Bombyx mori: one gene and its partner. Each later gene encodes a partner of the first gene's protein in a complex. Links are inferred from orthologs where the notes say so. Each region holds a gene or a part of one and is shown in the gene's direction. Other genes may lie near its edges.

Evidence for each region. The genes of interacting proteins can lie anywhere in the genome.
Region 2: NIF3-like protein (region 1) and MIP18 family protein galla-1 share a complex: the UniProt entries of both Homo sapiens proteins name them as parts of the CIA complex. The link is inferred for Bombyx mori from reciprocal best matches to the Homo sapiens genes CIAO1 and CIAO2A.

The regions. Positions count from the first base shown.
Region 1 is NC_085116.1:9,600,776-9,606,081, reverse strand, and holds the start of NIF3-like protein, read left to right. Parts: upstream 1-1,983; coding exon 1,984-2,111; intron 2,112-5,092; coding exon 5,093-5,224; intron 5,225-5,306. UniProt on the Homo sapiens protein: Key component of the cytosolic iron-sulfur protein assembly (CIA) complex, a multiprotein complex that mediates the incorporation of iron-sulfur cluster into extramitochondrial Fe/S proteins.
Region 2 is NC_085134.1:8,478,376-8,483,712, reverse strand, and holds the start of MIP18 family protein galla-1, read left to right. Parts: upstream 1-1,567; 5' UTR 1,568-2,278; coding exon 2,279-2,423; intron 2,424-2,506; coding exon 2,507-2,770; intron 2,771-5,060; coding exon 5,061-5,158; 3' UTR 5,159-5,183; coding exon of another isoform or gene 5,184-5,337. Other genes in the region: autophagy-related protein 13 homolog, read left to right, coding at 5,184-5,337. UniProt on the Homo sapiens protein: Component of the cytosolic iron-sulfur protein assembly (CIA) complex, a multiprotein complex that mediates the incorporation of iron-sulfur cluster into extramitochondrial Fe/S proteins.

The DNA.
Region 1 (5,306 bases):
TCTGGCCGGACACAAGGGTATAGTTTGGAATGTGTCGTGGCATCCACTTGGAAAATATTTTGCTTCTTGTGGTGAAGATAAAACTATAAAATTATGGAGTAAATATGGACAAGATTGGGCGATTAAGACTGTACTTGTCGATGGACATCAGAGAACAATTCGGGAAGTAGCCTGGTCACCCTGCGGTAATTTCCTCGCTTCAGCCAGTTTTGATGCGACTACTGCAATTTGGGATAAAAAAAGTGGTGTGTATTTTTCCCTTGTGACCCTGTGAAGAATTTGTACATCCAAAATTAAAATGAGTAACACTTTATAGGTGAATTCCAATGCAATGCAACTTTAGAAGGCCATGAAAATGAAGTTAAAAGTGTAGCATGGTCACCTTCAGGCCATCTCCTGGCTACTTGTGGAAGAGATAAGTCTGTTTGGGTGTGGGAAGTAGCTGGAGAAGATGAATACGAGTGTGAAGCTGTACTTAATGCTCACAATCAGGATGTGAAGAAAGTTAGTGCATGAATAAACAAAATTGAGTTTGTGTTTCTTACATATAATGAATGGATAAATTATATTATTTTCTTTATAGGTTGCATGGCATCCTTCTCTAGATATCTTAGCATCAGCATCTTATGATAACACAGTAAAACTGTACCAAGAAGATCCTGTAGATAATGATTGGACTTGTGTTGCCACTCTACATTCGCATGAGTCAACAGTTTGGAGTTTGGCATTTGATAAAACTGGAGAAAGACTGGCGACATGTAGTGACGATAGAACTGTAAAAATTTGGAAAGAATACAAACCTGATAATCAAGAAGGTGTTGTGGTGACTGATCGAGAGGCAGTCTGGAAATGCATATGTACACTCTCTGGATTTCACACACGATGTATTTATGATATTGCTTGGTGTCATAAAACTGACCTCATAGCTACTGCTTGTGGAGATGATATCATTAGAATATTTAAAGAGAGTGAAGATTCTGATCCTAATGCTCCCACTTTTGAACTTCTTTGTACAAAGAAAAATGCTCATTCTCAAGATGTAAACTGTGTAGCTTGGAATCCTTCAGGAAATCAAGAACTGCTTTCTTGTAGTGATGATGGAGAAATAAAAATATGGAAGTTTACAGAAGCTTAAAGTAACTAATTATTGACAGAAAGATCAAATAGAAATGATCAAAAAATCTAACAAGGAGTGATAATAATTTTATATTAAGGTTATGCCACAAGACATTAGCTGTGATTGTATCTAGCAAGATATAAATGTATTGTAAATACAGTATAAGTTTCAGTCTTTATAATAATTGTTGAAAACATGATTTAGTATTATTGTTCACGAACATAACCCAAATAACTAATAAAAAAAATAACAAAAAACATTATAACATAGATAAAATGTTTTGGTATACACTGCACTGGCTTGCTGATATAATCCATGGGCTTACATATTTTTTTTAAATATGAAAGCTTTGAAAATCTGACAATTATTATGAAATATCAACTTCTTTAGATCCAATCATTGAACTATACAAAATACCCACAGTCAGGTTTTTTTTGGTATAAGAAACGGTCTTATAATATGAATTAACAAAACACTAAAGTACTATATTATTACACAATATACCATATTAAACTATTACAAACCATATTAAAAATTAAAAGTGGCATTATAAAATTCCAATTTATAAATTAAACATCAGTTAATTGTTTTTATAATGGAGTAGTTAGTTTTAAAGATAAGGAAAAAGGAAATAAAGTTTGGATTAAAATAATGATGAAAAACAGCATTTATTATTTCACTGAATCTTTTCAAAATGCCTTTTGGTAAAATTTAATTTTTTAACAATGTTTTATTTCAAATTTATTAGTAAATTTTACATTTAAAAATTAAACTTTTTTCAGATATTACTAATGTTCTTTCAGTTAGGCAGGCACATTTTAAAGTCAAGAAATTCAAGGAATCACTTGTTCACACATTTTATCAAAATGTCAACTGAGAAATTCTGTGCAGTGTCTTTGGAAAGAGTAGTAACAGTACTTGAAAAATTTGCTCCAAAAGAATTGGCAGAGAGTTGGGATAACACTGGTTTGTTGGTGGAACCTTACACACCGAGGTATGAGCAAATTTATTCTTGACTACAAATACCCACTAGCAGTAACAAAAAAAAATGTTATTCATTTAAAATTATGTACTATTATAATAATTATATTAAGGTAGCTACTGCCTCACATAGAAACTGGTAATGACAGAGATGCTAAGCCTTACTGTGTATTGCTTTAGTCTTTAGACTTATTGTAGAGGATTACACAGAATTGGCCGTGTGGTGTCCGTGTGGTGTGGCCTCGATAAAGAATAATACCGGGCGACTAACGGGTTATCCAGAGAATGAGCGGCAACGTTCTCTGAGTATCATAACAGCATACTGCGATCGCCAACCCGCATGCCAAGCGTGGCGATTATGGAAACCCCTCCCAACATGTCTGACACAAATAAAAACCGCCCAGTCCTCGGCAGCTCCGCTATTCCTGGCTACAGTAGCGGTCAAGGTAACGGCGGGGCAGGGGGTGCTAAGAATCTCCGGCAGAGATCCGGCTACGTAAAAAACGACGATTGGACCTGGCAACATATAACGCGCGAACACTGCGGACCGATGAGAAGATTGTGGAACTCGAGGAGGAATTGAGCAGGTTACGGTGGGACATTGTGGGCTTATCTGAAGTCCGAAGAGAGGGAGAGGAAACGATAATTCTGAGGTCCGGTAACTTGTTCTATTTTCGGGAAGGTGATCATCTGTCTTAAGGTGGTGTCGGGATTATCGTCCACAAGTCCCCTATGAATAATGTGTTGTAAATCGAGAGTGTATCGACCAGAGTGGTTGTACCTTGTACTCAGAATCACCAAAAGGTATTCGTTGAAGATAATACAGGTTTACGCTCCGACTATGTAATAGGACATTTCCAGAGCCATGCATAGCTCTACAACTCACTTCACCATTGTCATGGGGGATATCAACGCCAGACTCGGTAAACGGTGCGAAGGGGAGCTGCGAGTAGGACCATTTGGATTTGGGCATCGAAATCACCAGGGAAACTTACTTGCCGATTTCATGGAGAAGAAAGAATTATTTATGATGACCTCTTCAGAAAACGGGGTCACAGGAAGTGGACCTGGATGAGCCCCAATAGCGCTATCAAAAATGAGATTGATTTTATTATGTCGCAGATTTTATTATGATGTCTCTGTGATCAATACGATTAAAACCGGAAGTGATCATCGGGTGGTAAGAGGCACAATGAACCTCAATAAACCTTGAGAGATTCCGAGTTATGAGGTCTACGCTCCGTTCAGCACCAGCTCAGATCCAAAGTTCTAGACACTTTCAGCTCGAACTTCAAAACCGCTTCGAGTGCCTAGGAGGCTCCGTGGACGATTACAATAACGGGTTTGTGAATGCTGTCCATACGATCGGTTCCAAGATTTTTGGAACCCGTCGTGCAAACAGAACCAAAAAACTCTCAGACCCTACTTTCAAACTCATGGAAGAACGTCGCGAGATGATTATGCAGTCTTGCAGAGATGTTATTTCTCCGAAACTATTTACCGCTGCGTTGGAAGACATTTTCAAAGTTCTGAACTGGAAAGGGCTAGCATAAACATCATCGGCGAGTACATAGTTCGCCGACGATATTGTGACTATGGCCGAGACCTTGGAGGACCTTAGTACAATGCTCAAAGACCTCAGTAGGGCTTCTATCCGAGTGGGCCTGAATATGAACATGGAAAAAACAAAAATTATGTTGAATGTTCATATAGCGCCCACTCCAGTAAAAATTGGAAGCTCTACGCTCGAAGTTGTTGACGAGTATATTTAACTGGGACACACTGTCCTGCTAAGTAAGTCCAACTTCGAAAAAGAGGTCAATCGTCGAATCCAGCTTGGATAGGCAGCGTTCGGAAAGCTACGTAAATCTTCTCATCACAAATACCACAGTGTCTCAAGACGAAAGTCTTTGATCAGTGTGTGTTGCTCTGAAATGTGGTTGCTCACAATGGCCCTTATGAGAAGGCTCAAGGTCACTCAAAGAGCAATGGAGAGGCTATGCTTGGAGTTTTCCTGCGAGATAAATCAGAAATGAGGAGATTCGCAGGAAAACCATGATAACCGACATAGCCCAAAGAATTGCGACGTTGAATTGGCAGTGGGCAAGGCACATTGCTCGTAGAACGGATGGCCGTTGGGGCCAGAAAGTTCTTGAGTGGCGACCGCGTACCGGAAGACGTAGCGTGGGCAAGCCTCCCGCAAGATAGAACGACGATCTATTGAGATTCGCGGGAATCTGCTGGATGCAGGCAGCGCAGGACCGGTCTTTGTGGCGAGACTTGGGGGAGCCCTGTGTCCAGTAGTGGACGTCTGTGGGCTGATAAGAAGAAGAAGACATAGAATTGATAGATAAGTCTTAAGTATTAAAGTTATGATTACCTTCATGCTTTGGGTTGAAATTGTATGTGCTTTGAAGTTTCAAATTATAAACTGTCAATTCAGCCGTATGTAGGGTATATAAAATATATAGGCTAAAGTGTCTCTTTGAATAAAGCCAATGATGACATTATTTGAGGATTACCAAACATGTTTGATTAAAACATGGGTATATAATTATTTTTCATATATAATTATATTATATTATTTCATTGAAAATTGGTTTTCTGTAATCAGCTAACCTATTCCTCGAAAACCTTTTTAATAAAAATAAATAAAATTACATGGCCAATGCCCATTGCACTTTTGCGAATCACAAGATTTAAAAAATACAGTCTATTCTCAAACACAACCAGTGTGGACTAAAAGTCACTCCCCTGTTATAGAAAGATCTATACAGAACACAAAGTGAGGATGCAACTATAATATGAGTTGATGATGTAGAAGTGGTACCAGCTAAAGTCAAATGCCTGTAAGTTCAGACATATAATCGCCAAACTTATAAAAATACTTTAAATAAATTTCCATTAGTTAATTTGACAAATTTAAATTAATTTTCTTTATGTTTTTAATTACCTATTTAAAATATAATATTTTTTTATAATTTTCAATTCCAGACAAATAACCAAAATTTTGTTAACTAACGACTTAACAGAAGATGTGGCCTTGGAAGCTGAAATTCTGGCGTGTGAGATGATTATTTCATATCATCCTCCGATATTTGCGCCTTTGAAGTCTATTGTTCAGCGGTAATTATTTATATAGTTCTAGTCACACGTCTTTGACGCTATTTATCACTTTGTCAGCATAGTATCCATATATTTTATATTA
Region 2 (5,337 bases), on another chromosome or scaffold:
TGACGTACAGCCTTCTTTATTAATTAACGGCTGTATGTTCTGAAGTATGGATTCCGATTTGAGAAATTGACCTCATGTCTCCAGGTGGATTACGGAAATCATTTTGTAATTCCAATAATCTCAGGGAGCCCACTTAATAATATCACGTGGACCGTGCTATTTATTACTGTTATTACGTAAAATAATAGGAAGAAAAGTACCAGGGTATTATGATAGCAAAGAGATTTATTAATAATTAACGGCGGTATGTTCTGAAGCATGGTTTCGGATTTGAGAAATCGACCTCATGTCTCAAGGTGGGTCAAACTTCACGAACCTCAGGAACCCCATTTAACACCACGTGGACCGTGCTATTATTATTAATTTATAGGAAGAAAAGTACCAGGGTATTATGATATCAAAGAGATGTATTATTAAAATGCTGTAATAATCTTAGTAGCAAAAAGGTAAAGTGAAATAATTGTATTATTTGTATTCATGTCTATGATAATAAAATCCTTTTGTTTAAACTTTATCTAATTTAACTTTATTTAACCAATTTCTAGAAAGTTGCATGTAGATCATTTTTCGAAAAATAAGGCCATAAACAAGTTTCACTTCTTACGTGTGTACACTAGTACACGCACACATTTTTTTGAATAATTTTATTTTGTTATTGTGAGGTATTATGTGGTTGAATTAGGTTTTTTTTTCTACACTAGAATTTCTCTAGAAATTTATTTAAGACAACACGTTTGCCTTGTCAGCTAGAATAAATATAAATTTAAAAACAAACAAACACTTCAAGAGTAAGCCAAACTAAATCGTAGAAACTAAAAGTAAAAAAAATGATTTTTTTTTATTACAATATATTGTAACATATTTTTTAAGAACTCTAATTTATAAATAGTCGTAACATTTGATGTCAAGGTTTTAATTAATTATCAAGGTTAATCTTAATTCGGTTAAAATTACTCCTTATTAAAGATTCAGTTAGTTAGATATAAGTTATGCTAATAAAAATATGCAAAATAGATCCATCACAATATGTTGATGGTAAAGTACCTGAGATCTTCTAATACAGTCAATTACTAATATCGACGCTTCCACACGACGGAATACACTGGCTATGAAAAAATACGAATATTTCTTTTATTAAATAGAAAACTGTGTTTCACGTCAGATAACAAACTTTTTTTATTCAATTAAGCAAAAGATACACCGTTATGTAGGTAATGAAATAAAAATTAAATGTATTGTAGTAGTTTAGCGACAATATAGTGGTGAATGCAGGCTCTTAATTTTGATTCAAGGTTGTTTGGATGTAGATAAAAATAAAAGGCCTATTTTTTTTGTATACTGTAGCCTCATTTGAGGTATCCATTCCTTTTGGCAATGCGTCATGAATAAGCCACCAGCTTGAAGTTTCAGTCATTAAAGCTTTGTCTAATGTTTGTCTACATCAATTATTGATGGTTTTTGGATGTGTTAACGTCTAAATCGATGTACGCCGCCTGCACGCACGAAAGAGTGTCACGTTCCTCTGAGCCTGAGCGCGCAAGCGAGAGCGCGGAACAAACGATAGAGAGGCACGATCGGCCCAAGCGTTGGCTTGTGACACATTTATCTGTCTTCTCGCGTGGCGTCTTTTTTTAAGTGATTTTATGTCCTGGTAAATTAAAATAGTTTTAAATTAAAAGGTTTTATTTTTAATTTAAGACAATTTAAATTTTGATGAAAATTGCACTATCACTTTTTTGTATATGAAAAATGATAATATGAAGTGAAATGAAATGAAGCTGATTAATATGAAACATGGCATTGCATGAAATGAAATGAAATGAGATGAGATAAAATGACATGGGATGAAATATAATCTCAGTAAAATGGCGGTTATTTACGGAGACTTTTTCAGTGGACTTTTTGGAGGATCTCGAGAAGTTACGTCCAGCGCCTCTGTTTTATTTTCCCACTCACGTGACGTCAGAGTTAACAGTTCGAACAATTATCTTAATGGCGTTATCACGTAAAACTATCGTTCGTAAACCGGCTTTCGTTTATGGACAAAGTTACTTGCATTGTTGTAAAATTAGTTTAAGTTCTTTAAATTGTCAATACTATCTGTAAATTCTGTAGAACATTATTGAAGACGACAAAAAATTAAGATGGACTTAAAAGTATTGCCACAATAGCAGATACAAGTGAAAAAAAAAACGGAGGTCAGCAATTACAATTGTCAAAAAATAAATATGTCCGACATTTAATCGTGACCCGTGATAATTTTAATTTGAACGATAATATGATATCATTTTTCTCCAAACTATCTTTAAACAACTCTTCAAAACAGCCAGTGGAGGTCGCTAAGCCCGCATATATGGACAAAAGTGCTACATTACAAGAGCTCGGCTACAAAGACGAGAATGAGTTGAGAGAGACAATATATGGTTTGTTTTCAACATAAATTTGTGGTTTTGCACGAACTTTTTGTGTTATTTGCGTGTTTAATGTGTGCTGTGGTGTGTTTTAGACTATTTGAGGACAATTCGAGACCCCGAAAAGCCAAATACGCTTGAAGACTTGAAGGTCGTGTACGAGGAAGGAATCTTTGTGAAGGAACCAACTGCAGATAAAGTGCCCGTTTTACGTGTGGAGTATAATCCAACAGTGCCCCATTGTTCGCTGGCCACACTAATCGGACTTTGCATTCGTATTAAAATATTAAGGTCTATCCATCATCCTGTGAAATTGGACATTTTTATCAAGAAAGGGGCACATACCACTGAAGATGAAAGTAAGCGATGAAATTTGTTAGTTTAGAAAATGTATCATTGGATCTAAAATGCATTGCACTATAAAGTTTAGTGGAAAAAAAATCATCACTATTTAATACAAAAATAATATAATTTTATGATTATATTATTAACATCAATAGCAATGATATACGCTATTAACTAATAATATAAGCTAATAACTATTTATGTTTACATCTATTTCTGTTCAAGATAGTGAAATAATTTACCAATATAATGTTTACAATAAATTAACCCGATCAGGTTATCACTTTTTTTGGCACCTTGTCAGGTTATCATGGGTCACTGAAGACCTGAGATGCATTAGAAAACGTAATTTGTAATAAAAAATCTGATTAAATTCCTGAAAACTCTTGAATACTTAAACTTGAGCACACGATGAAGATTAAAAAAAATTAAATGAGGATTTTATTAATCATCATAAACATACCCACCTCCTTAAAATGGAGTCATTGATTAAAAATTCATAACTTTTGAACAAATTGAGATATTAAAAAAAAAATCAATTACAAGAGAATGCTTTTTTCAAAGAATAAATTTCTGCCAATCTCTCCATCTACTATAACTCTTTCTTCTTGTTCATTTCTGCTCTGCTGCTTCTGCATCATCATCAGAAAAATTGTACTGAGATGATTATTCTGAATCTTTATTAATGTGATCTATCACGAAGCTATTTTCTTCTTCTAAATATGTGTATCCAATGAATTATGTGAACAAAGTATTTTCGATATTTTATGATATCCACAGAGCTATATATTGATGAAAGATCAATGTGTAACCCTAAAAATGCATAAATTTTATTCAAAATCAAGAACTAACCTTGTCATGGAAAAAAAATTCAAAACCACAGTTACAGTTATCGTAGTTCACTCAAGATCACTAGTGATCCAACATGCACCACTAGCTCACTACAAATATTCCACAATTCTAGAGGAATGTGTATCAGAGTAAAGATTACCTACTCACCTCACAACTCTTTTATAAGCTTATTTACAGTGAGGTTAGATTTTTTTCCGTACTTTGATTGTTACAGATAACAAAACAAAAAATTAGCTACGTTCCTTAATAACCCACAATAGCTTCATCAGGTTAACGATGAGACAATTTGTCTTTATTCTACTAAGAGAGTTAAATGTTTATTTGCAGTAGTAGTTGCATTAGTAAAATATTGGGGCTTAATGGTGGTAAACTAGTAAAAAGTTATTAAAATTAATTTGAAAAACATCAGACAAATGAACTGACTGATATAGCTTAATAAAGTCTAGAAACAGCAATCATATTTGTTCTGTTGTAATTTCATTCCGATTAGTAGTGTTCGGTTATAATAATACAATATAATAATGTTCTAGTAATCATAATGTTCGGCTTAATAGTCAGAGGGATGACTAGTACACTGTCAGGTCAGTCATGAAGGTGTTGTTTATGAGTTTTCCACTTTTAATTAGAATTTTTGGAGTCTTTCAGCAACAGCTAGAAAACTGACCCTGCATGGTTAAATACCACCATATAGGGTAAACAAAATGTTCATACTTACTGGTACTACACACATACTGAAATTGTGTACTTCATACATACTGAAAAATGTGACAGCTGTAATAATACAAAATTCTGACTTCTACTTTATGCAAATTAAGCACATTATGTGATTAAATAAAATGACGATCAATATATATAGGTACATTTAGTCTACCGTATAATATATATAGACTTCATTGAAACACATTGTTTGCCATCTTATTAATCACAGCATAGTTCAAGAAAATTTAAGAAAAAATTAAATTACTTTTTTGGTTCAAAGACCATGACACAGTTTGTGAAGGTCATATTTGAAACAACATTGTGATAATAGTTTGTAAACATACAACATGTTTATTAACTTTTGTGCCAAAACATTATTGATTAGGGTTAGCAGACTCATAAATATTTCCAAATAGTGTGATACAAGTAGGTGTTTTAAAGCAGAGATGTGGACACAGCCCTATGACTATCGTTTCCACTTAAATTCAGGTAGACCAGAACTTCTCTGCTGATCCGATGTTAAAAAAAACTATCTATGCCAATATTAATTATTATTCTTTTATTTCCGCATTGGTTGCCATACTTGAAAAAGAAAATATGACTTTACAAATTTAATGTAGAGGTAGAGATAGTAAAAAAGTTGTAGAGAATCTTGGAATATAAGAATTGTAAATATGGTGCTCACCTTATTCATTAAACCATAATAGTAATTACATTTATTTTGTTTTTAATAGATTATTTGTTTTTTTATAGTCAATAAGCAGATCAACGACAAGGAGAGGATTGCAGCTGCAATGGAGAATCCCAATCTAAGAAACCTGGTGGAAAACTGCATAGCCGAAGAGGAGTAAATCAACCCAACAACAATTCTCTAAAATGGCACCTGAAGTCGCATTTTCGAATATAACTGACAAAAATGAATTCACGAAATTCACAAAGTTTTTAGCGTACAAAGGAGTACAAGTTATAGTTGAGTCTAGAAAAGGAGTTAAAATAGAACCTAACAGTAAACCAAAGACGTCAGACACTG